Tamandua tetradactyla: one gene and its partners. The protein of the gene in region 2 purifies or fractionates together with the protein of the main gene of each other region. This does not show direct contact. Links are inferred from orthologs where the notes say so. Each region holds a gene or a part of one and is shown on either strand. Other genes may lie near its edges.

What was found. The genes of interacting proteins can lie anywhere in the genome.
Region 1: the proteins of IKBKG (region 2) and ATM purify together in Homo sapiens (affinity purification with western blotting; 7 studies listed by BioGRID and IntAct, with this or other methods). This does not show direct contact. The link is inferred for Tamandua tetradactyla from reciprocal best matches to the Homo sapiens genes IKBKG and ATM.
Region 3: the proteins of IKBKG (region 2) and MAP3K14 purify together in Homo sapiens (affinity purification with mass spectrometry; 6 studies listed by BioGRID and IntAct, counting the BioPlex papers as one, with this or other methods). This does not show direct contact. The link is inferred for Tamandua tetradactyla from reciprocal best matches to the Homo sapiens genes IKBKG and MAP3K14.

What each region holds. Positions count from the first base shown.
Region 1 is NC_135334.1:33,611,614-33,618,701, reverse strand, and holds the start of ATM (serine-protein kinase ATM), read left to right. Parts: upstream 1-4,024; 5' UTR 4,025-4,304; exon of another isoform or gene 4,305-4,318; intron 4,319-5,213; 5' UTR 5,214-5,243; coding exon 5,244-5,315; intron 5,316-5,392; coding exon 5,393-5,505; intron 5,506-7,088. Other genes in the region: protein NPAT, read right to left, coding at 3,617-3,653.
Region 2 is NC_135353.1:6,923,350-6,931,304, reverse strand, and holds the start of IKBKG (NF-kappa-B essential modulator), read right to left. Parts: upstream 3,064-7,955; 5' UTR 2,950-3,063; intron 1-2,949. Other genes in the region: G6PD (glucose-6-phosphate 1-dehydrogenase), read left to right, coding at 7,337-7,374, 7,502-7,610. UniProt on the Homo sapiens protein: Regulatory subunit of the IKK core complex which phosphorylates inhibitors of NF-kappa-B thus leading to the dissociation of the inhibitor/NF-kappa-B complex and ultimately the degradation of the inhibitor.
Region 3 is NC_135332.1:22,168,578-22,176,176, reverse strand, and holds the start of MAP3K14 (mitogen-activated protein kinase kinase kinase 14), read right to left. Parts: upstream 3,065-7,599; 5' UTR 2,955-3,064; intron 1-2,954.

The DNA of each region.
Region 1 (7,088 bases), on a different chromosome or scaffold from region 2:
AAAACTAGACTATATTTTAAGAGGATTGTTGGGAGTCCCAGAGGAGTTGATGGAAAGCATAAATGCAGAGTGTGGGGAACATTTTCAGTTTGGATGCAGCACAAAGTAATATGAAGGAGAACAGGTAAATATACAACTGAAAAGACAGAATAGGTCCACATCATGAAAGCTGTAAAGGTCAGGGCAATGAGCATAGATATTATTCAGCAGACAAAGAGGAATGTCATGATTACAGGTGCGCTTTTCTAATTATTAAATATAATGTGTCAGTGATATTAAAATGGGTAAGATAGCTGGCTCTGAACCGTCTGGGAGTATGCCAATCCTGCTGATACCATGCATGCAATGTTTTCCAGGCACCCATAGCTGCTGGCTTCTGGCAGCGGTAGGCCAATGGGAAGCACTGGTGGGAGACTGGAAGTCAGAAAGAAGAAATCAGCTCCTTTATTAGAGAGGTCCACTTTTCATGTTCCACACAGTCAATCTAGCCTCTGGGTTGCTTCATTTATCTTTGTTCTCCTGCTTCAGATTGATTTCTTACTCTTTCTAACATGAGTCACCTTATGTTTGACCTCTCAGCTCTTCTATCACCAATATAACCAATTTCCTCATTAAATTCCCTCCACATTACAGATTCATATTGACTGGTTTATGTTTTCCTGGATGATGACTCATGCAGAAAGCTAATTAACCTATTTCAGAATATAAGAAAGTTCTGGACTTTTCATAAATAAAAATGCCCCCACTTGCCCATAAACTTTAATAGTTATGCCCAGAACTCTTGAAACCTATCCATTAATTCCAGATAAGAATACTGAAAAAGACAAAGAGGTAAACACATAGCTACAATAAAATAAGTAACAGACAATGCTATGAGAGCATTTAAGAATACTAACTAACCTTGGAAGAGGTTTCAGAGATCAGGTTTGATTTGAACTAGAGTAAAAGTGTATGAGGTAGAGAAGGAGAAAAGCACTGTAGGTTAAGTGGATAGAATACATAAGAACATGTGGAGAAATTGCAAATAGCTTGGTATGCTGTGAGCATACTGCTGAGGTTGAGAAGCTAAGATCACGCATGATTGGGATAAATTACACAAAGCATTTTGTATGAATACTGATAAACCAAACTAGCGAGCCAGAAGCAATAAGCTATGTTTTGATGTATTTTTGGCCTAGACTATTTAAAGAAATCTCAGTAAGGCAATAGTTATCTGTAGCTGAGTAGTAACCAGGGCTGTTCAGGTAAAGTAGTGAGTAAGAAACACACAAGTCAGAGTGCAGTGTTCTGAAGAAAGAAGGGTAGATAAGGAAGTAGAGCAAGTAAGTAGAATTCACTGTTCTTTGAATAAGCTTCAACTGTAAAAGGGTGCTATAGGGCATTAGATAGAATGTGAGGTGGTATCTAGTAAAGTGTTTTTAAGGGTAAAAAACCTAATTTTGTGGACTCTAAGGGGTGATCTTATTTTTCTCTTCATTCTTAGCAATTAGCACAGCATTTGCAACATACTAGGCACCCAAAAATTGGCTGAAGGAATTTTATGAAGAAAAGGGACCTATAAGTAAGAGAAGAGCTGAAGGGGAGGTGGATATGGATGGGAGTAAGAACCATGAGCAAATAACAACATTAATATTTTAAGCCACTAAGTTTCAGAATGGTAGACCTTTATGTAGTGATTTGGAAGGAGCTTCAAAATATTATGCCAAATGAAAAAGCAAGCGCAGTGAGTGTGGGGCACCTTGCCATTTTGTTGTTGTTCTATATATCCTTTTGCACAATTTGAAGTTTTAGTACGTGCAAAATTGTTTCAACTTTTAAAATAGAAGATGTAGTGCAAATGCTTTAGAAAGATTGTTGTAACAACAGTAAATAAGATGAATAGCAAGAAGGAATCTATATGGATGGGAAGCTATGACAAAAAGCCCAAGTAAGAAGTAATACACAAAATGTGGATTAGAAAGAATTTTAGGATAAGACAACAATGACTGGAGTTTTTATCCATTAAAAAAGGTAAAAAGTCAGAGCAGCCAGTTTGTGCAGAAGAAATATTCACAAATTGATGTGGGGTATTCCAAATGGATATTGAAATTGCTTTTATAAGTTTAGCAGTTCTCAAATAGAGATGATTTTGCCACCCCCACCCTTCCCCCCAGAACTTATTTTCAATGTCTTAAGACATTTTTCCTTGTCACAACTGGGGGAATCCTACTGGCATCTAGCAGGTCGAAGCTAGGAATATTGCTAAACATCCCACAATGCACAGGACACCTCCCCATAACAAAGAAAATCTGGCCCAAAATGTCAATACTGTGGAGGATGAGAAACCTTGTTTAAGACTATGGTTCCTGAAACTAAACTGGATTACAAAACTGCCAAAACTCAAAATGCTTATGTAAATAATGAGGAAAAATAAAGCATGTCAAGGTACACCGTGAAAGTATACTATTGATTGGCTTACATATATTAAATGTAACAATTACAAGATCTCAGGTTTTTACGACAGATACTGATGCAGGTTAACTACGTCCTTATTCAATCCTGATAAAACGAGCTAAAGATCAACCAAATATTCGTTTAAACTTAAGTCATTAAATTGGTTTCTCCAAACGGGGGGGTGGAACCATTTCTCTCTAATGTTTCATGCCAAACGTGCTCATCAAGGCCGCCGTACAAATACCGTTGTTTTTCGACAGGGCTGGATATGTAAAAAAAAAAAAAAAAAGGAACAAGACAAATGGGTTTTTCTAATGATAAAATAATGGCAGTAAAGGCTATGGACACTGTGAGAGGTTTCATCACTGCTGCTTACATTTAGGGGTGTCACATTTGTCTGTGTTTAACTGGCTCAGGTTTTGAGCTTTACATGTCTCACGTTCTCAGCAGTACAATCCTCTTTCTTCCTTCAGGGGACGGACAACAAAACCCGGTGGCCCACAAAGACAATACACACTGACAGACAACTAGTCCATGGGACAAACTCTCCTCAAACGGAGGAAAAACTACCGAGGGCTAGAAAATATTCAATTAAAAGGCATTTCCTCTCTTAAGTTTTTGGTTAATCAAAGGAATAGGAATCGACTTATTCGGCCGAATTATTACGGAGAGCGGGGAAAAGAAGAGAATCACCCTCACTCGTCCCAAATTCGTAGTTGTGTAAAGGCGAGATATGCGAAGGACATCAGGAAGATCTCTCTACAAAGCCAAGCGGCTGCGGTGGAAGTTCTTCTTTTGACTGCTCGGACCCAACTATGACCAGCGAAAGTAACTCGAAGGTTGAAGAAAGCGCAGTCTGTTCGTCACGTAGGCAACTCTCTTTCAGGTATCTCTACTTAAGTGCCCAGGCCTGACTTTTCCCTCAGAATCTGGGCCCCAGGTGTACCACCCCCTGCTTCTCGTCAGCCCTCCTCTCCTACGCAAGCCTCTGAAGAGCACCCGCACAAAGAGTCTTAAACTGCCCAAAGCCTCCGGCTGAAGCAGAATCACCCCAGGTTTGAACTTGTGGGCGGGGAGGCAAAACCTCTAAGCTCCCCCGCCCAGGGAAAACCTTTGGCCCCCAAAGGTCCTTCCGTCCTGCTTTTCCTGGCCCAGTAACCCTCTCTCTCGCATCCGCGCTTACCCAGTACCAGCCGGGCTACATCCGAAGGTAACAACATGATTGAAGTCTCAGAAGGAATCACAATAAGAGAAGAGACGCAGGTAAAGGCAAACACAAACCACAGCTCCAGCGCCGCATCTCCCGGTTCCAGCCGCGGCACTGAACCCGCGGCAACTTGTCCCGCCTCTTTCGCTCCACGCTAGCCAATCGGTTCCGCGAGAGAAAGAAAGGCGCCGAAATGAGACCCGCCCCCGTTCTCCTTGAAACTGTCGTCATTTCCGCCCTTATATTAGCAAGGGAGAGGCTGAAAAGGGCAAAGAGGCGGGGTGTAAGAGACTGAGCCCGAGATCGAACGTCAATTGAAAGCTCGCTCTCCATTGGTGGAAAAGGCGCAGGCGCGTTTCCTGAGAGAGGCCAAGTGTTTTGGGACGAGTATTTTGAGCTAAGGAAAGCGCACGTGATATTTGGCGCGCATGGGCAGAGCGTACGTCGGCGTGGATTTAGCAGAGCCCCTTCCTCCCAAGACCCGCGCTGCGCGGTCACGCCGCGTTTTAACCGAAAGCGGGAATAGGCGCATGGATAACGGGTTCGAGAAGCTACAGCTGCAGCTGCTGGAGGAGGCGAGAAAATCGGGAATTTGAGCTGCAGCCAACGCCACGTCAAGAGATACCACTTTGGCCACCAGTGCCGTTACCGTCGCAGTTCAGCGGTAGGGGCGCGGAGGCAAGTTTCTGCTTTCTACGGTGGAGAATTCATTCGTATCTGAGCCATTCTGTCCTCTCTCCCAGACTCCCATTTTTACGTTTTCTTCCAGAGTGTCCCTTTACGCCACCTGCTTCACCTCATCTTTCCACACCTCCCCCCACCTCTACTTCCACCACCCACCCCATTACCTTCTCTTGTCTCCACGCCCCTAGCGGATTTAGCCTTGAACCCTCTTATGAATGTCTTGCTTTGAACCCACCTCCTGAATTGGCAAATCAGCTGTTCCTTTTTAGTCCTTAGCTAGGTTTATTTGATCCTTTCGTGGAATTTGACAATGTTGCCTACGCCTCATCTTTCTGGAAATAAATCTGCCATTGACAGATGGCTCTGTAGTCAGATATAATTGGTTCACGTCGTGGCTCTCTGCCACTTATAAAACGTATAATCTTGGGCAGATTGAATCATCTCTCCAAACATTTCCTCGGCGATAATAAAAGAAACTAATCTCCTATGTCAAAGAGTTTTGAGGATTCATGTACCATTTTTAACATAGTTCCTGGAACACAACAAATGAACAAGGGTATTGTTTAATAGTTGAACCTGTCGAAGAGACGTGAGTGCTCTTCTCGTGCTTTAACTATCTCTGTTCATCTTTCATGTCTCAACTTAAACGTCATGTTTCTTTAGAAGAGATCTCTTTAAAAAAAAAGTAAATGATCCTTTTCTTATTTTTTTCATATTCCTGTTAAAGCACTGTTTTGACCCATTCTAAGAGAATTTAATTTTAAATGTGGGAATATTAAGAAAAGTATTTGCCTTTGGTCACATTTTGTCTCTTGCACAATTAGATGTAACAATTATATATTAATTCCATGGTCTAAACTAATTTTGAATGCTTATGTATTTTCTACAGACAATTATATGTGATCTGAAATTCTGAACCATGAGTTTAGCACTTAATGATCTGCTTATTTGCTGCCGTCAACTAGAACATGATAGAGCTACAGAGCGAAAGGTAGTAAATTACTTTAATTTTTCTTTAAAGGGTTGTATGATTGGTAACCCATTATTATGTTCATTTTTCATTTTCAGAAAGAAGTTGAGAAATTTAAGCGTCTGATTCGAGATCCTGAAACAGTTCAACATTTGGATCGTCATTCAGATTCCAAACAAGGAAAATATCTGAACTGGGATGCTGTTTTTAGGTATTCTATTCAATTTTTTTGCCTTTATTTTTCTCAATTTCATTTTCAGTTGTTTTCACATTAGGTTTATGTGTGATCTTATCTTTGCTCTCTATAAACTACTGTACCTTGCATATGAAGTTAATGTTTAATATGTTTGTCTGAAATACAGTTTTTAAAGGAGGTTTATATAGAAAAATTAAAAATTTTAAATCATTTGTTTCATAAAATGTCTTAGGCTTATCTCACTCGAGATAAATTGAGAGGGAATTCCTTTCATCTTGGTCAGTTTATAAGACTTTATTTCAAATTAGAGAATGAAATTAAGCTATAGTAAATACTTAATTATAACTTTGACAACTTTAAATATTGCTTTTGAGTATAAGTAACTACCATGTGCTAGATTATAATGAAGTAAATAAAGGAAGATTAGAAAACTTTCATATGGATACAATTTAAAAAACAAAACTCAGGCAATGGCATATTTTCAACTTCAACCTCTTCAAGATCAAAGAGAGAGATGTTTATTTAGTGCAAACTTTATATTCTAGGTAGAACTTATGTAATTTGCCTTGTACTGGTCAGTTTACTTGAACACCATAATTACATGGAGTCTTGAATAGGGCATGAGATCTTGTTTTTCTACAGGTTAGTGTAATGTGGGATATATCCCAGAGTAATTTGGACAGAAAATAGAAAAGTATTTGCAAAGTTCCTTTGTGGGACTGGGGAGAAAGAAGGAATGTTCAACTTCCCTATCTGGGGAATTCCTAATATTCTTGCAAGCAATGGGGACAACCAATTCAGTGGGCTGAGCCCTCAATCTTGGGATTGGCCCCTGTGAAGCATATTCATACAAAGGAAAGGCTAAGCCTATTAATAATTATGCATAAGAGTCACCCTCAGAGAGCCTCTTTTATTACTCAGATGTGGCCTCTCTCCCTAAGCCAACTTGGTAGGTGAACTCAGTGCCTTCCCCCCTACGTGAGACATGACTCCCAGGAGTATAACTCTCCCTGGCAGTGTCGGACCTGACTGCTGGGCATGATCCAGGACACAGCATTATGAGAATGAGAAAGCTTTCTGACCGAAAGGGGGAAGAGAGAATGAAAGATAATAAAGTCTCAGGGGCTGAGAGGTTTCAGACAGTTGAGAGGTTATCCTGGAAGTTATTCTTATGCTTTATATAGATGTCCCTTTTTAGTTTATGGTATATCGGAGTGGCTAGGGGAAGGTATCTGAAACTGTTGAACTGTGTTCCAGTAGCCTTGCATCTTGAAGAACACTGTGTAACTGTGCAGCTTTTCACTGTGATTGTGTGATTGTGAAAACCTTGTATCTGACGCTACTTGTATCCAGGATATGGACAGATGAGTAAAAAAGGGGGGGAGGGATAAAAAAAATAAATAATAGGGGAAAAGAAAGGGTAAAAATTGAGTAGATTGAAAGACTATGGGTCAATGAGAGGAAGGGGTAAGGGGTATGGGATGTATGAGATTTTTCTTTTTATTTCTTTTTTTGGAATGATGTAAATGTTCTCAAAATATGGTTGGACGGTATGTGTGTGGATATTTCTCATTAAAAATATTAAAAAAAGAAAAAAA
Region 2 (7,955 bases):
AAACCCACAGAGGAGCCCTGCCTGGCCTGACCGTGTTGCTTGGGGAACTGCCATTTTTGCTTTGATAGGAAAGGCCACAAAAAATAAAGGCACAGGCAGAGGCATAGCACTCTGAAAGTAGGTGGAAGGCAGGGGGTACAGTCCTCGTTAAGCCGTGCTCCCCTGTCCCTAGCTACTTGCCCTGAGAGCAGATGGAAACAAGGTGTGCTGACCAGTGAGGCAAGCCCTAGGGCCTGAGAGCTGCTGCCAGGGTTTCTGCTTGAATTCAGAGTACCCTTCCCTTTTCACTTGTACCCCTAGGTGTGACAAGAACCTGTTCACTGTCAACCAATTGCCTTGACCGTTCATTTATTAAGATTTCGACCCAAACCGGCGAGCAGGTGCAGGAGGCCATTTCTCTGCAACTCCGTCACGGGCTTCCTTCCCCCTCGGCGCTGGGGGAACTTGGTGGCTCTTTGCACAGAACAACTTGCCACTGCCCTCCGCAGAGCCTGTTCCCTGCCACTTGTGTGTTTCTGATCAGGAATCAGGAGTCAAAAGGGAGGAGGCAGGCAAGCCAAAAACCAGGGCAAGAGGCAGTGGGAGGGAGAAGGGCTCCACCGATGGGAAGTGAAAGGCAAGGGAGGGCCGCCCCAGGTGCTCTCCTCTGACTCCCTGTCACCCCAGGAGCTTGGGCGGGGTTGGGGCTCTGGCTTCTTAAAGGAGCCACACCTCCTTAACACTGGGGCTTGCAAACATTAGCCCCTTAGTCAAAGAGACAGGTTCAGGGAGAAAGTAACTTGGCATTCTTTCTCCTCATCCCCTGCCCCCATACTGGCTTGGTGACACGGATGCCCCAGTAGAGCTCCCAGGTTCCAGACACCAGCTGAGGGCCCCTCGAGAGCGTCCTGGGGCTTGTCCAGGCCCTCAACCCTGTGACGTCTCAGTGAGAGCACTCAAACCTGCCACATGGCCTGGGGCCAGCAGTGTTCCCTGCTCGAACCGCAGCATCTCCGGGGAGTCGAGGAAGGCTTTTGAAATAAGCACCAAGGGTCCCCGGACCCCACCGAGCTAGTTTTGTGACTCCCACGACCAGCCTGGCATTGCACAACTCTGACTCGAGCCATCAGTCAGGTTCCCTTTGTTCTCCCCAGCCCTGGGAAGGGTACGGGGTCCTCCTAGGAGCCTATGCTCTTTCTCTCTCAGAACAGGATGGGCGGGACTCTCCCTTAAAGCATCGGTGCTCAGGCAGCACCTAGAACAGCTCCCACCCCTGGGCGTTCTCCACTCCTCCCTCTGCAGTGGTGCTGGGAGCCGGTTCTCCTGCAACCCACAACCCTAGGCAAGCAGCACTTCTCTGCTCATTCATCCCGCCAGTGGCCTCCCACTGAGTGCATCTTCTGTACCCAGCATTGTGTGCCCTGAGGACAGGCAAGGGCACAGGCTAAACCTCAAGTCAAGAACAAGCTGCAAGGGATGGCTGGTGGCTGCCAGGCACCCTGGGGGCCGGCGACATGGCCAAGAGCTTCCCCTTCCACCTCCCTTGCCCCCACTTACCCAACGCTTACCCAGCTTCCTTCCTAGAAACTGCCTGACTTCGGCTCATGAGTTACAAAATGGGCTTCGAGCCACTTGCTGTTCCCCCTTCGAGTGGCCACTTCCCCCCTTCTCAGGACTGCCTTCCCCATCCCCACCCCAATCCAATGTGAGAGTAGAGAGGCTAAATGTCCCAGTGGCAGGGATTCTGGTCTAGAAAGCTCTAGAATAGAAGAAGCTTATTTCTCCTTATGGACCCACATGGGGGAAAGAACCCTGGACCTTGAAGGCTATGTCTTCCCCCAACTAGTAACATTAATCAAGGCTGAAGAGCACCTCCTTTCCCATTAGAGGGGACCTCCTCAAATTGAGGGGGGTGGGGCACGGAGTAATAGGAGAGGGGGAGAATAGGATGGGCAAGTTCAACTCCTCCACAAGCTCCTCACGTCTCTGGGCCTCAGTTTCCCCACTTGGATCCCAAGGGCTCAGGACTGAATGGGTGCCCATGACCCAGCCCACTCTGGCCCCGGGAGAGATGGCCCTGGCAACCCCAGCCCCACCCTTTCCTCGGAACATTTCTGGGCCAGTCCCCCCCACACACACACATTGGGCCGATAAAATTCTTGCTGTGTCACGATGATGTTGGCACGCCCCCAAAGGCCTGTGATTCACGAGCCCCAGGGTGGCACTTTCCTTGCCAGCCCCCAGGTTCTCACTCCCTGGTGATCAGGAGCCAGCTGGGCCTGAGCCAAGGCCCCACCCCACAGTGCTGGGCTCTTTCCTGACCTGCATGACCCAAAGAGGGAAGGGGTCATGGGTCTCAGCAGGCAGCCGCTCTCTGGGGCTCTTAGCTGCCACACTCTGGGCCCTGAACCCCTAATACTAGAGAGATATCTGCAGTGGTTTGGGTCAACTATCTTAGGTTCTTCCACAGGAAGCTGAGGCCAAGTCTCAGGCAGAGTCTTGAACAGTGACCAAAGGGGGCCAAGGTCCCTTTGCCCCAGTCTGGCCAGATAACATGTGGCCTGACATCCTAATCACTTCTAGTCCTCCCATGAACTTACCACATGGCCTTGGGCATATCCTGCCCCCGCCCCATGGTCCTTAGGCAAAATGAGAGGATTGGGAAAGATGGGGAGCTCCCGCCCTCCTCTCACCATGGACCCTTCAATTAACCCCAACCCCCACATGTGGCTGCGGTTAGAAAGATTTTATCAACCAAGCCGTGAGATTTCCTAACATCTTCCCGTGTCTGACCCTCCAAAAGGATCCCGAGAGAGTCAGCGCAGGACAGCGCGGAGGGCCTGACACCCCCAAGCCTGGGCTGGGGAGAGCAGCTTGGCCCCTGTATCCCCTGGCCAGGAGGGGGGTATGGGTCTGCCTGGGCCACCCCCCACTGCCGTCGCCGCCACCACCAGCACCTCCTCATCCTACCTCTCCTCTGTTGGGTGACTGCAGACAAGCAGGGTGTGGGTTGGAGGGGCTGAAGCCGAAACAAGGCAAGCAGGTTCTATCACTAGTTAATCCCAAAGGGAACAGCAAGAACAAACAGCTCGGGGTGTGGGGCGGGCTATGACTCAGCAGGCAATAGCCCAGGCTCTTCTGATTTCTCCCAACCTATTGGAATTTAATCATAAGCAAACAAGACTCACAGTGAGTAAGGCTTAGAAATGATTGTAGACCATGGTTCACAGTGCTGGTTCCCAGTGGGCTGGTCCTTTCTGAACTGGGGGTGGGGGGACAACCCTAAGCCCCCGTGATAGGAGTAGATGCCCCCCAGCAGCAGACACTGCCAGTGCGTCCTGAGGAGCACCCCAGCGGGTGCTGGGGGACACAGAGAGGATGGCGGTGCAAGGACAGCCCCTGATGTGCTGGGTGGAGGTGCCCCCAGAGGTGCAAGTCCAAGGGCCACCCAGCAGGCCCAAAGCAGGCCACCTACTTTGGCCACAGTGGACCACCATGAGGGCAGGCAATGGGCAAGAAGGTCTGACGGGGGCATCCTAACCCATCTCGTGCCTGAAGACAGGGTAGAAAGAGTGAGTAGTTGGCAGGTGTGGCGGAGGCACAGTGTGGAAACTTCCCCACCAGGAGAACCCCCCAAGCACCTTTCCACCAATCTCGGGCAGGGCAGGGTAGGCGGGATTTTAACAGGGTTGGAATTCTTTTGATTTCGGTCCTACATCTTGCAACCGTCCCAGAGACGTAGACTCATCAAACCATGACCCAGCCAGGTCATTATTTTAATTTGGGGGTCTAGGGTGACTTTTAACTTTTTAAAAGCCTCTGGTGGGGGTGCAGGAGAAATGAGTTGGCACTTAGCCTCTCCACAGGCAATGCTGGGCTGAGGCGGGGAGTGTCATTACACCTGCCTTCTAGAACATTCCTTTGAGCTCAGAGAGGATCAGATAGCTCAGGCCAGATACATCTCCCAAATCGCCTCAAAGCCTGGAAAAGAAAAGTTGTTTCCACAATAGCCTGTTAGATAGGGTGTTTGGTTCATTTAAAATCAGATAGGTCTTTGCAGGGAAGCTTCAAAGCTTAATTTTGCTTTTCATAGTCAGGACCTTAATCCCAGGAGTCTGTTCTTTGGTCTGGTAAGAGTCAAGATGCAAGTTCTGGTAATCATTGTCAGTTCCCCTGCACTGCTTAGAATATTCTCTCCCCAGTGACTAGAAGCACTCCAAAGGAGCGTGGGTTTCTCACCCCCACGCAATCCCCACGCTCTCTTAATTACAGCTTTGGCAGATGAAAGAACATGCTCCCTCTACTTAGTTCTCCTCTGGGAAGAACCTTGCTAAACTCTCTTTAATTCTGTGAATTAATCAGCGGGTTGCCGGGAGTTTCTGTTTTTTCACTTGGGTAGACTTTCACCCACAAATCAAGGCCAGTTTGGCTTCTCCTTTCCAATCCCTATACCTTTTCCATTTTTTTGCCTTACTGCACGGGCTAGGACCACAAGTTCATCATTGACAAGAAGAGCCAATAGTGGGCATTCTTTTCTAGTTCCCAGTTTCTTAAAAGAAAATATTTCAACATTTCCACGTTATGTATGACATCCATAGGTTGTTGTTTTTTGTTTTTTGTTTTTTTAACCGGTTAAGGAAATTTCCTTTTTTTTCCTAATTTAAAAGAGCTTTTATCATGACTGGATATTTAATTGTCTGGAGCACTTTTTCTACATCTGTTGAGTTTAGCAACGTTGCTAGTTTAAAAAAACATCAACCTATAGAGCAGGCAAAGATTTTTTCTAGTGTTTTCTTTTCTCCTTTAATCTGTCAGTGGGGTGGTTTTCAAAGATTGATTTTTGTTTTCTTAATACCAAGCCAACGTATTTCCAAGATAACTTCCATTATTTCCAGGATAAACCCACCTTGGATTCTGATGTATTATATTTTTTAGCATTGCAGGATTGGGTCTGCTGATGTTTTCTTTGGCATTTTTGCATTTGCATCTGAGCATGTGAACGATGCTTTCAGTATCCAAGTTCTGCTGGCCACATAAAAAGATTGGGAGCCTTCTTTAGTTTCCTGGGGCTGAAGGTACAAAGTGGCACCAGCTTGCAGGGCTGGGGGGAGGGGATTCTTCAAACAACAGAAATAGATTCTCTCTCAATTCTGGAGGCTGCGAGTCTGAAATCCAGGTGTCAGCAGGGTGGTGCTTCCTCTAAAGGCTCTCTTGGTGGCACCCCAGTTCCACCGCTGTCTTCTCAGAGCTGTCTTCTCCCTCATGTCTTATCTGTCTCTTTGTCCATATTTTCCTCTTATTATAAGGACACCAGTCAGATTGGCTCCAGGCCAATCTGGCAGTCCAGTTTGCCCACATCTTCAAAGACCCAATTTCCAAATGAGGTCACGTTGGCAGGACCAGGCTTAGGACTTGAATTTGTATTTGGTGAGTGGGCACAGGCCCAACCCAGAGCAGTCTGCTCTCTGAGCCTCCCTCCCCTCAAAAGTCACATCCCTCCTGGGTGCCAAATACATGCACCCCATCCTGGCCTCCCATCAATGCTCAGTCCAAAAGTTTACCTTCTCAATTGTGTAAAGCGCTGACCTAAAATCGCCACCCTGTCCACAAACCTGTAAGACTTAAGAAAACAAGTTTCCAAAAATACAAGTGGTGGGTCAGGCAGATGATAGACATTCCCATTCAGAGACAGGGGAGCTGGAAGGAGGAGGAGGGGTCAGCAGCCGAAAGCAAGTTCACAGCCCCATAGGGCAAATTCGCTTCCATTACAAGGCCTGAGAGTCCTTGATGGCTCCGTGCTTTGCCCTCTGAGCCTGCTGTGGTCGCAGCCCACCCCCTCGGCCTCGGTGGCCCGGGAGTCACCCTTTCTTTATTTTGTCCCGTCTCTGTCCCTTTCACTCCAAGCTGGCTGTGTTTCTGCCAGTAGAAAATTCTCAAAAACTTTGTCGACCTTCCATGGAAGACCCACCTTTAGAAATGAGGGCTCTCTGCCCAGTTCCTTCCTGGATAACCCCACCTCAATCCCTGACTTGTGCCGAGGCCGTCGATAGGGTTGATAAGTCACCCCTCGATTGCTGCGTTAGATGGCCATGCAGCCGCCCCCTCAGTCCTGTCGCCACGGGACACTACCCAGCTGAGCTGAGATTTTCCAAATCTCCTTTCTGTTGGACGGTTCGGTCCCCGATTCATTTCTTTCATTTTCCCAGAAGCAGCCAGAAGTAAACCAGAGGTGCCGTCCCGGCTTTGCTTGGATAGCTCCTCAGCTAAACCATCGAAGTTCATGGCTTCCCGCTTCTACTCCCAACCCAACCCTATGACCCCATACAGTCAGGTTCTCTGCCACTTGAATGTCACGCCAGTCACTTCCTTCTAGAGCCTCACCAGAAGCATCTTAAATGCGCCTATCACTGCCAATACTCTCTGCATGGCGCTCTCATGTGTCATAGCCCTGAAGGCCAGAGGTCCAAAATCACAAGGCCCTGTTTCCAAACAATTCACGGGTCCAGGCATTAGAGCTCAAACATAGCTTTATGTGGTGTTGGTTTTTTGGGGGACGGGTGATGGCACAGTTCAACCTGCAACAGAGACTGCTCCCCTTCCTGTTTGCAGGAAGAGTCTGTTGCACACTGGTATTCTCTCTTCCTTGCTTTTTTTGGGCAGAGCCCATAGGTGAAACACACCCGGGCCCCGCCTCCTTCTCGGGGTCCATTTTGGTAGGTCAGAATTTTCTAGAAACTTATCCCTTTCAGTGGGGTTGCTGGGCGTGGCATAAGGCTGTTCATAAGCTCCTCTTCTGGGTTGCGTGTCAGTGGTTCTCTCCCCTTCTCCTTCCTGATCCTATTTACGTGTACCTTTTAAAAAGCCTTCTTGCTGCAGGGCTCGCTCTTCTGAGTCTTCCGTTTCAAGCACCACCTTTTGGTTCGGCCGATCTGATTTGGTGGTTTGTTTTCCATTTTCTTAATATTTTTTTCACCTTATCCCCTTCCTGGTCATCCGTGCATCTTTACAATTTAAACTTCGAAGGCCATGCCTCACGTATTTTGCTACCTGGTAGGTTTCTTGGCGCTCGTTTAGGGTCGCTCTTCTTTGTCTCAGCAGTTGATTGGGAGCATGGGGTCGCCTTTTGTTTGCTGGTGGCCCTTTGGTTTTGTCCGAGACAGCAGTGGGCTCGGGCGCAGGGGGGCACGCAGCCCCAGGGGCCAGCTCCATCCCTAACCTCGGGGCCCCTCTGGCTACAGATGGGGACGAGATAGATCCGCTTAGAGCTCCATGACGTCCAGGGCCGGGGTCAGAGGCGAGGGGGGACCCCTTTCCCGTCTCCAGCTGCCCTTAACCACGCTTGTTCCCTTTGACTCAGGGTGACCTGGCGAAGAAGAAGATCTACCCTACCATTTGGTGAGTGCGCCCCCCACCACCCCCTCTGCCCACCCCCAAGGCCTCCTCCCCCACCCCCAGCAGGCGGTTTGGGGTGGGGGGCACGCCCAGCCCGGTCCGCTCAGCCCTCCCCATGCTCCACTGGCAGGTGGCTCTTCCGCGATGGCCTTTTGCCCGAAGACACCTTCATCGTGGGCTTTGCCCGCTCAGCCCTCACGGTGGCCGACCTCCGCAGACAGAGCGAGCCCTTCTTCAAAGTGAGTGGCTCCCGGCCTTGCACCCCAGCCCCCACTGCTGTCCTTTCCACCACCCCCAGCCGCACCCCCAAGAGCCACTCAAGCCCCAGCTCCTCTATCCTTGCCCTGCCCAGGGTCCCCCATGCCAGGATTCGGGAGAGAAATCTTTCTCCAGTGCTCTGCACCCCGGGGAAAGTACCCCAAAATGGGGCCCCTGGCTTAAGGCACGAGGTCCCCGGGGCCACATCCCCGGGCCCCACCCCTCGGCCCTGCTCCTGGGGCCAGCGGGTGCCATCTCCCCACCTCCCTGCACGGCTCCTGCTGCCGGCACCTGCCTCCCAGGGCAGCAGAGCCTAGGGGATGGCA
Region 3 (7,599 bases), on a different chromosome or scaffold from region 2:
AAACTAAACTACAAAGAAAGAAGCACAGGCACTAATGAAAAATTTCTTTTCTCAGCATTGGCACTCAGGTAAGAAGATGAGCCCAGAACTAAAGACCCATATTCAACACACTTCAATGTTCTGCTCAGCTCAACTGAAATGTTAGCCTACACAATTTGCCCTATGCCTGGCCTTCCATTTCTAATCGAAGGCTTTCAAAATTTCAGTCAGCAGCCTTTACACGGGCGTCACTCTAAATGCTTACTCTGCCCCTTGAAGATGCTCAACCTCTAATCCTTTCTGTTACAAGAGCTCTCAGCGTGCAGAGGCTGGAGTGGCTGGCTTCTCCTTACAGTTTCCCAAATTCACTGGCATGGATTTCCTCCTCTCCCCACCAATTTCACTCTGGTGCCATCAAAAGTGCCCATAATGCTCAGATGTTTCCAGTTTAACTGAAATGCTAAAATGGTGCAAACAGGAAGCATCAGACAAAACTGCGGTAGTGACTTATTAATCATGAAAGCAGAATTTTAGTTGCATTTTAACCTTTTGCCAGGAAAAAAAAAACAGCTTTGAGATGATGGAAGCCATTGGTAGAAAAATGCTGCCTGTTTGTGTATCAAGCTGATTTATACTTTTTATATAGGACTAAATTTGGTTTTTAGACTTTCTGAACTTTCCCCCCAGAAAGACCATCTCTCAGGCCAATAAATGTGAATTTGTCAGCTCCTCATCAAGGCAGGCAGCATTGTTAAGAAAGCCCATGTGCCGTCCATTGAAACAGGAAAAAAAAAAAAAGGAAATTAAAAGGGACTTCACAGGCCAAAGTTATAGAACACTTATAAGAGGGTGCCAACAACAAAGAAAACAATCCTGGATGAAGCTTCACCTCTTTCACAGCTCTACAGAGCTCTCACGAGACTCTGGCCAGGGATGAACTGTTATCACACACACACACACACATACATACACACACACAAAATCACAACAATTGTCTAGGGTTGAACAACTAATGAGGGCAAGCCCACTTCTCAACATTAAATGATAAACACTCCAAGTAGATTACAAAGGAGTCAGTGTTCAACAGGAGAATCAAAATGAGGAACCAAATCTCCATCTGTTCAGATAAACGGCCCAACCAGACAGTTTTGTTTAATAGATGAAGGCCCGTTTGGCAGGGTCTCTCTGGTGCTGCTCCCACAAACTCTAACAGACAATACCATGAGTGAAAAACCCCCTTCAGAATTGCTCCCTGTAATCTGAAAATAGTCCGAAGATGACTCCAAGCTTTGTAGTTTCTTGCTGTCTGATTTCACAAAGGTACTGGAACATATACCTGGGTACTTATTTCTAAAATTAAAGTTAGAAACTGTTACTTTTATTTTGAGATCTTCTGTAAAGTTCATCACATCCTTCAAAAAAACAAAGAATATGTCCTAAAGGTGTCTGAAAAGCTTAGAAGTCTGGCACACCAAACCAAAGTAACTGACTTTAACAATCACCTAAAAAACACAAGAGTAAATCTAAACACATTCTAATCAAGACAAGCACCTCTTAAATGTCCTCTGATGTTGAGATAATAAACACCACACCAAAAACTTGTTCCTCTTTCTTGCATCTGATTCCTATTATGTTGTCCTGGTCCAGGGGAAGGAGCCTGGGAAGACTCAAGAGATCCAGGCTCAGGTTTCCACCCTCAGTCTTAGCTATGATGCCTTTGAGGTATCAGGCAAAAAATATAATACCCCATTCCCCCCACCTCACCTATAAAACAGGATCATTCTATTTTTTCACACATATGTCTGAAGGAAAAGGGAGATTACAGGTATGAAGATACTTAGTAAAGTAAAAAAAAACATAGCACAACTGTTAAGATACTATCTTCCTGTAATCTTTCAGAAAGATTTACCACGTTTCTAGTCAAGGGGTTTTCAACATTTTTCCTGGAATAAACTTCAGACTGCTAGTTTGTGTCATGGCCCCACTCTCATATTTAATTTCACTTGATTTTAGATCAAGTCACGGGTGTTCTTTGTCTCCAGTTACCAAAAAGCATTTTGTCACTTTCACGGCTGATTTCTCTATCTTTTCTCCATTGAGCCTCCCTTCCCCACAACCACTCAATATTCTCCAAATCACCCCTTTAGGGTTAAAAGCAACATTTAAACCTCAGCTAGGACGGAGACACTTTTCTGAAGTTTCCAAGCACCAAGGAGGCTCCTGGGCGGTGGGACTCTCTGCACTGTACAAGTCGCCACTCTCTGCCTGGTGCCCAGCTGCTGCAAGTTGCCAGGACCACGATGGGCTTCCAAGAAGGGAATATTAATCAGAGCCGACAGATAAGATGTCCTGAGTGGAGAGGACAGAAGAATTACAGAGCAGAGCTGGGGCCAGAAAGGAGGGAGGATGCTGCCATGACCAGCAGTGCCCCTCTGGGTGCCGAGGGCAGGCTTGGGTCCTTCTCCTAGCCTCGGAGTGTGACCCAAAAACTTGCCAGCGAAGGCCAGGTGGGAGGTGCACCCACCAGGCGCACTTCTGCAGAAAACACCTTCCGTCCCGTGCCGGGGTGAGCCCCACTCCTGGGGGACGCGCAGGGAACCGCGCAGGAGGGGTGCGGCCTGGCTGTGGGACATCTGGGCGCAGTGGCGGGGGGTGCTGGGGAAGGGGAAGCAAAGCACCTCTGCGCGCGCTTCAGGCAAGCGTGTGGCCTGCGAGAGTGCGGCCTGGAGGCCCGGGGCGGGCAAGGCGTGCGACCGTGGCACCGGCAGCGCGTGTGAGGGCGCGCGGCGTTTGGCGGCGGGTCGCGAGGACCGAGGGTCCGCGCGCGGGTGGGTCTGGCTAGGGCCCGGGTCGAGCCGCCGACCCCCACCGCTCCTGGGCAGCCGGCCAGGCCGCGACCGGCTCAGGGACCGGGGGGGCAACTCGTCCCCGCCACTCTCTCAATGCCGACCCCGGGGTCCCGCTCAGTCACCTACCGGCCGAGCGCCGATCTCCCCAGCCAGCAAGTGTCGCGCTCCCCTCTCCCGCGATCTCCCGTCGCGGGTGGCCGCCGGCTGCCCTCCCGGAGCACTGTCGCCCCGCCCCGGCTTCGGGACCCGCCCCCTCACCACCTTCCCGGTCGCCCCCGCGGCCACGCCTCCCCCGGCGGCTCCAACTTTGCCTCGCTTGGAGCCTGCTTTCTCGGGCCTCAACGTGATCCTTGGCTCCGCCCACCCCCCCACACTAACCAATGAGACGGCCCCAGTGCTCTCCTAGGCCCGCCCCTGTCGGCCCGCCCCTCTAGCGACGATTGGTTCTCGAGGCCCAGTTTCCAGAAAAGGGCAATCTTTCCGGACAGTTTATAGAAAAGAGATTGTAGGGCGAACAGACTGACAGAAGGCGGAGGCGGTCGAGGTGGTTGGTGTAACTACACATGCGCGCTCGGCTTCTGGCAGTTTTTACCGCTTGCTTTCTTGAGGTTACGGGAAGGAAGGGCGAATGTGCGCGTGCGCGGGCACTCCCAGTCTCTGACTTGGGTTACCTTGGAGACGGCGAGGCGCTCCCCCTCCTGGGTCTAGTTCTGCTTCCTCTTTGCTGCTGGGCGGTGGCGGCTGAAGGAGGTGGTGATGGGATTAAAAACACTTTTATTGAGCGCTTGCTGTGTGTCTGGCGCTGTTGAGTCCCTAAAGAAGAGGAAAGCAGGTTGCAGTGCTTGCCTCGAGAAGCTTAGGGAGCCAAGGGCCTACACAGGTCAGGCCTGTGTGTAGACACCGAGGCCTGTAATAAGAGTGTGCGATGCACAGCCAGAGAAACATTGAGGTTAGAGACTGCACCAAGCATCCTCTCGCTGGATTTAGTGGTTATGGAACAGAAATAAAAATTTATTTTGAAAAGTTTGCAAAATAAAAAATGCGCCCTTACCCTGGACACCCCATCCCCATCAGGGCATTCAGGACAGGTATGGTAACTGATTCTAGTGATGAGATGAACCGGCCCCATCAAAGGCTGTCTGTTTTGAGAGGCAAAGAGCACCCCATCTCTGGAACTGTGGCCAGGCCACCTTCTGTTCAGGATCGTTTATTTTTTATTTTTGGCATGGGCAAGCTCCGGAAATGAACCAGGGTCACTGGCATGGCAGGCGAAGAATTCTGCCACTGAGCCACGGTTACCTGCCCACAGGATCACTTTTAAGACAGTCCTTGGTCGTTCAAGGTCTCTTTCTGGACATCTGCACCCGACAAATATTTCTGCTTTGGGGCAGTAGGGAAGGGCATTGTCGAAAGACAAACGGGGTCAAGTTTGCAAATTGCGGCATTTTGTTTGGGACATCAAAAGTTTTGCTGCAGCAGCAGAAGCCAGATAACTTGTAAGAAGCGAAATAGTTTCTGGGTTCTCGGGATGGCAAACGATTTTTATAGACATTAAAAAAAAATAGCTTGACTCCTGTTGATTGGACTAGGGTTTGTCTGTCTTATAGGGGTAGGTTTAGATCAGGTAGGCTTCCTTTTGTATTGGATCAAATAAAATGGGGTATCGATTGGTTATCTGGGTCAGCTGCCTTGGTGGGGAAAGTCAAGAGAGAGTTCAAAGAGGAAGTAACGCACGGGGTTTGGGGGCTCTGAAGGGTCCCCAGAGCTGTCTTTATATAATTTTATTAATTTTCCTTCTTATGGTCATTCCCTCTGTTTCAAAGGCTTTACCAAAGATGTTGTTAGTCTCTTATTTGCCACTTGAAGCCTTGTGTTTCATTATTGTTTTCATAGGTTAGCTGAAGTTCAAGATTTTTGTTCATCCCATTCAGAGTGGTTTTGAATCCTCAGTTATCAGTTGTCAAGTTAGTGACTGTGCAGCAGCATTTAAGAGGACAGAAATCAGACAACAAATGAGGGATATTATAAATATGATTAAAAGGATGACAAGTGCCCTTATTAGAATATCTCTGAGCCAAGATCCCCATGACCCTAGAATCCAACCAAAAAGAGACTCAGACCAATCAGATTCAGGAGGTGTGTAAACTGACACTTCTCAAGCAAGGGCTTCTGTTGTTACTACCTCTTAGTAAACTTCCTTTTGACTGTCATTTACAAATACAAAGCACTGTGTGCCCACTAGTGCACACACTTCCTTGTAGAGGAATGACTCCTCTAAATTTATAGACAAAATGACTCCTTTTGTCATTTTCAAAGTTCCAATACTTTGCCAGTTAGTGAGCTGATGCCTGCCCTGGGTGGGAGATAGATTTTTCTAACTCTAAAGCTACCTTTTCTATTACCAACTGTAATTGGTTAGTGTATCTTCCATATAGGAGATGGCTTCCCTAATGACAAGGGGGACAGTACCAAGAACAAAACACTCCATGAGGTTAGCCTGGGCTAGTGGGTTTTTCTATGATCCAGTTGGCAATATTCTCTTCATAAGTTTCTATAGTATTGGAAGAGACCATAAGAGCACTCTTGTCTCTAATTTTCCCTTTTGAAAGCTTATCATTAGTAGTCATTTGGGGAAAAGCATAAGTTGCATTACAAGAACTAACCCAATTTACAGGTAGTATTTTTGTCTACATACAAAATAGTGTCCTCGAAGAGTTTAATAAGGGTATATCTATTGCCTTTAATGAATGGAACATTGTTGTGTAGAGCTAACTGGGTGTAAACACCAAAAAGAGAATCTTAATCCAACATCGTCTTCATTGTTACCTGATATCTTAGTCACAATTAATCAACGATTTCCCTCGCCTGGCTTTTCAGCCTACCAGAAATATTTGTGCCTTGAGTGGAATAAGTTCTTATGCTATTAAAACCTTGGGGTGCTTGGAGAAAACTGGTATCAGAAAACTGGCCCCAACATTGTACTCTTGGCTCATAAAAGTAAAAGGAGTCTTGTCACATAGAAACTGAACATATACTATCCCTACAAAATGGCCATTTTTGTCTGTCTGCTTTCTAGTAAAAACATATTCTTTGGGTTAGAGAAGCCGCATGGTAATCCCAGTCTCAGGGGCTCTTAAGGAACAACCCCGAGTCATTCCCCAAAAATAATCTCTTTGACTGGGTATCAGATGTTTCCTGTCAGACCAAGTCTGCAAGTGTAAGGGGGATGGTTATTAGAGGAATACTTATTTGGGGACTAAGTGGGGGATGTGTACAGATCCAGCAGTTACCCTGATTGGTTTCCTTTGCTATATGGTGTGCTAGAAGAACAAAGGAATTGTGCTCAAGGCAGGTGTACCTAGGGGAGAAATAGAGTAAAATCATGATGAAGGTAGGGTATTATTGGGGATGGATATTGGGCATTGTAAGGAATGTAGGATGAATAAGAGAACATTTAGACAGATAGTGAAAAGGAAGAGACAGAGAATACAATAAAATTCAGGTGTGTTCTAGGGCACCATCTACTTGTTCCAATGTCTTGGGCAGAATCTGTCTGTGTCAAATGCTGTCTGTTTCTGGAATCTGTGTGTCAATTTTAGCTTGAGGTCAGAAATGGGATTAATCTTCCAAGGGCTTGGAGCTCGTTTTAGTTGTGACATGTGGACCCAAGGGTCAGTTATACTGCTGTAGTTTTATGGCTGTAGTTGTGGTCAATAAGACTTGAAAAGGTCCTTTCTCTCTGAGGTCTAAGGCACTCTTTGTTGATGTTTATCCCAGTATATCAAGCCTCCGGGTTAAAGATCATGTAGAGTTCAATATTGAGGAATCTTGGGAAAGGCAGCCTAGATCTGTGAATGGTGGAACTGAGTATATGAGATTCATTCCTTACAATAATTAGCAACTTCACAATGTAAATGTGAAATATTTAGATTGGAATCAGTAAAGTAGGAGAAATAATAAGCCTCATGGGTCTTCCCATTATGAGTTCATAGGGGGTTAGCCAGTCTTCTCCTGGTGGGCTAGACCTTATGGCCATCAAGGCTAAAGAAAGATCCCTAGGCCGTGGTAGAGGGAAGGATTCAAATAATTTAGCTAATTTAATTTTTATGGTACCATTTTTTTCATTCTACTTTTCCTGACAATTAATATGTTAGGGACAGTGAAGCTTTTGGTTCCTTGATTAAAGTTCAGTAAATTGGGAGCCTCTATCCCTTGAGAGAATAGCAGAAATTCCCCAGGTGGAGAAAATAAAGTCTAATGGTTTCTATCTACTGTGAGGGCTGCAGCTTTGTGACAAGGAAAAGCCTTTATCCATCCAGAAAATAGATATACAATAACAAGGACATGTTCATATCCTATAGAAGGAGGTAGTTGTATAAATTCCACTTGAAGACGTCCAAAAGAGCACTATCAGTTGTGGTCTTTGACCCTGTCCTACCTTTACAGTTTTACCAGAGTAGAACATAATCTATATACTTGTCTTACTTCTCATTTAAAGTCCCTTTTTTTTCTTTTATGGCTGAAGATGAAGCTCTGAATTATAACTGACTGCAGACATTTTCAGAGAAGCATCCTAGTAAAACAACGTAACTGACAAGGAAATTTGGTTGTTTTGTGGCGTGTAGCATTTCTAAGAAAAGCTAAAATTATGACCAAACCACACTGTTGTCTAATATGGTGCAGGTAAGTATTAGGACAGTGAGAACATTGTCAAATCTCTAGGAATTTTATGTAATCTCTAAATATTTATATGAATAATACTTTTATTCAT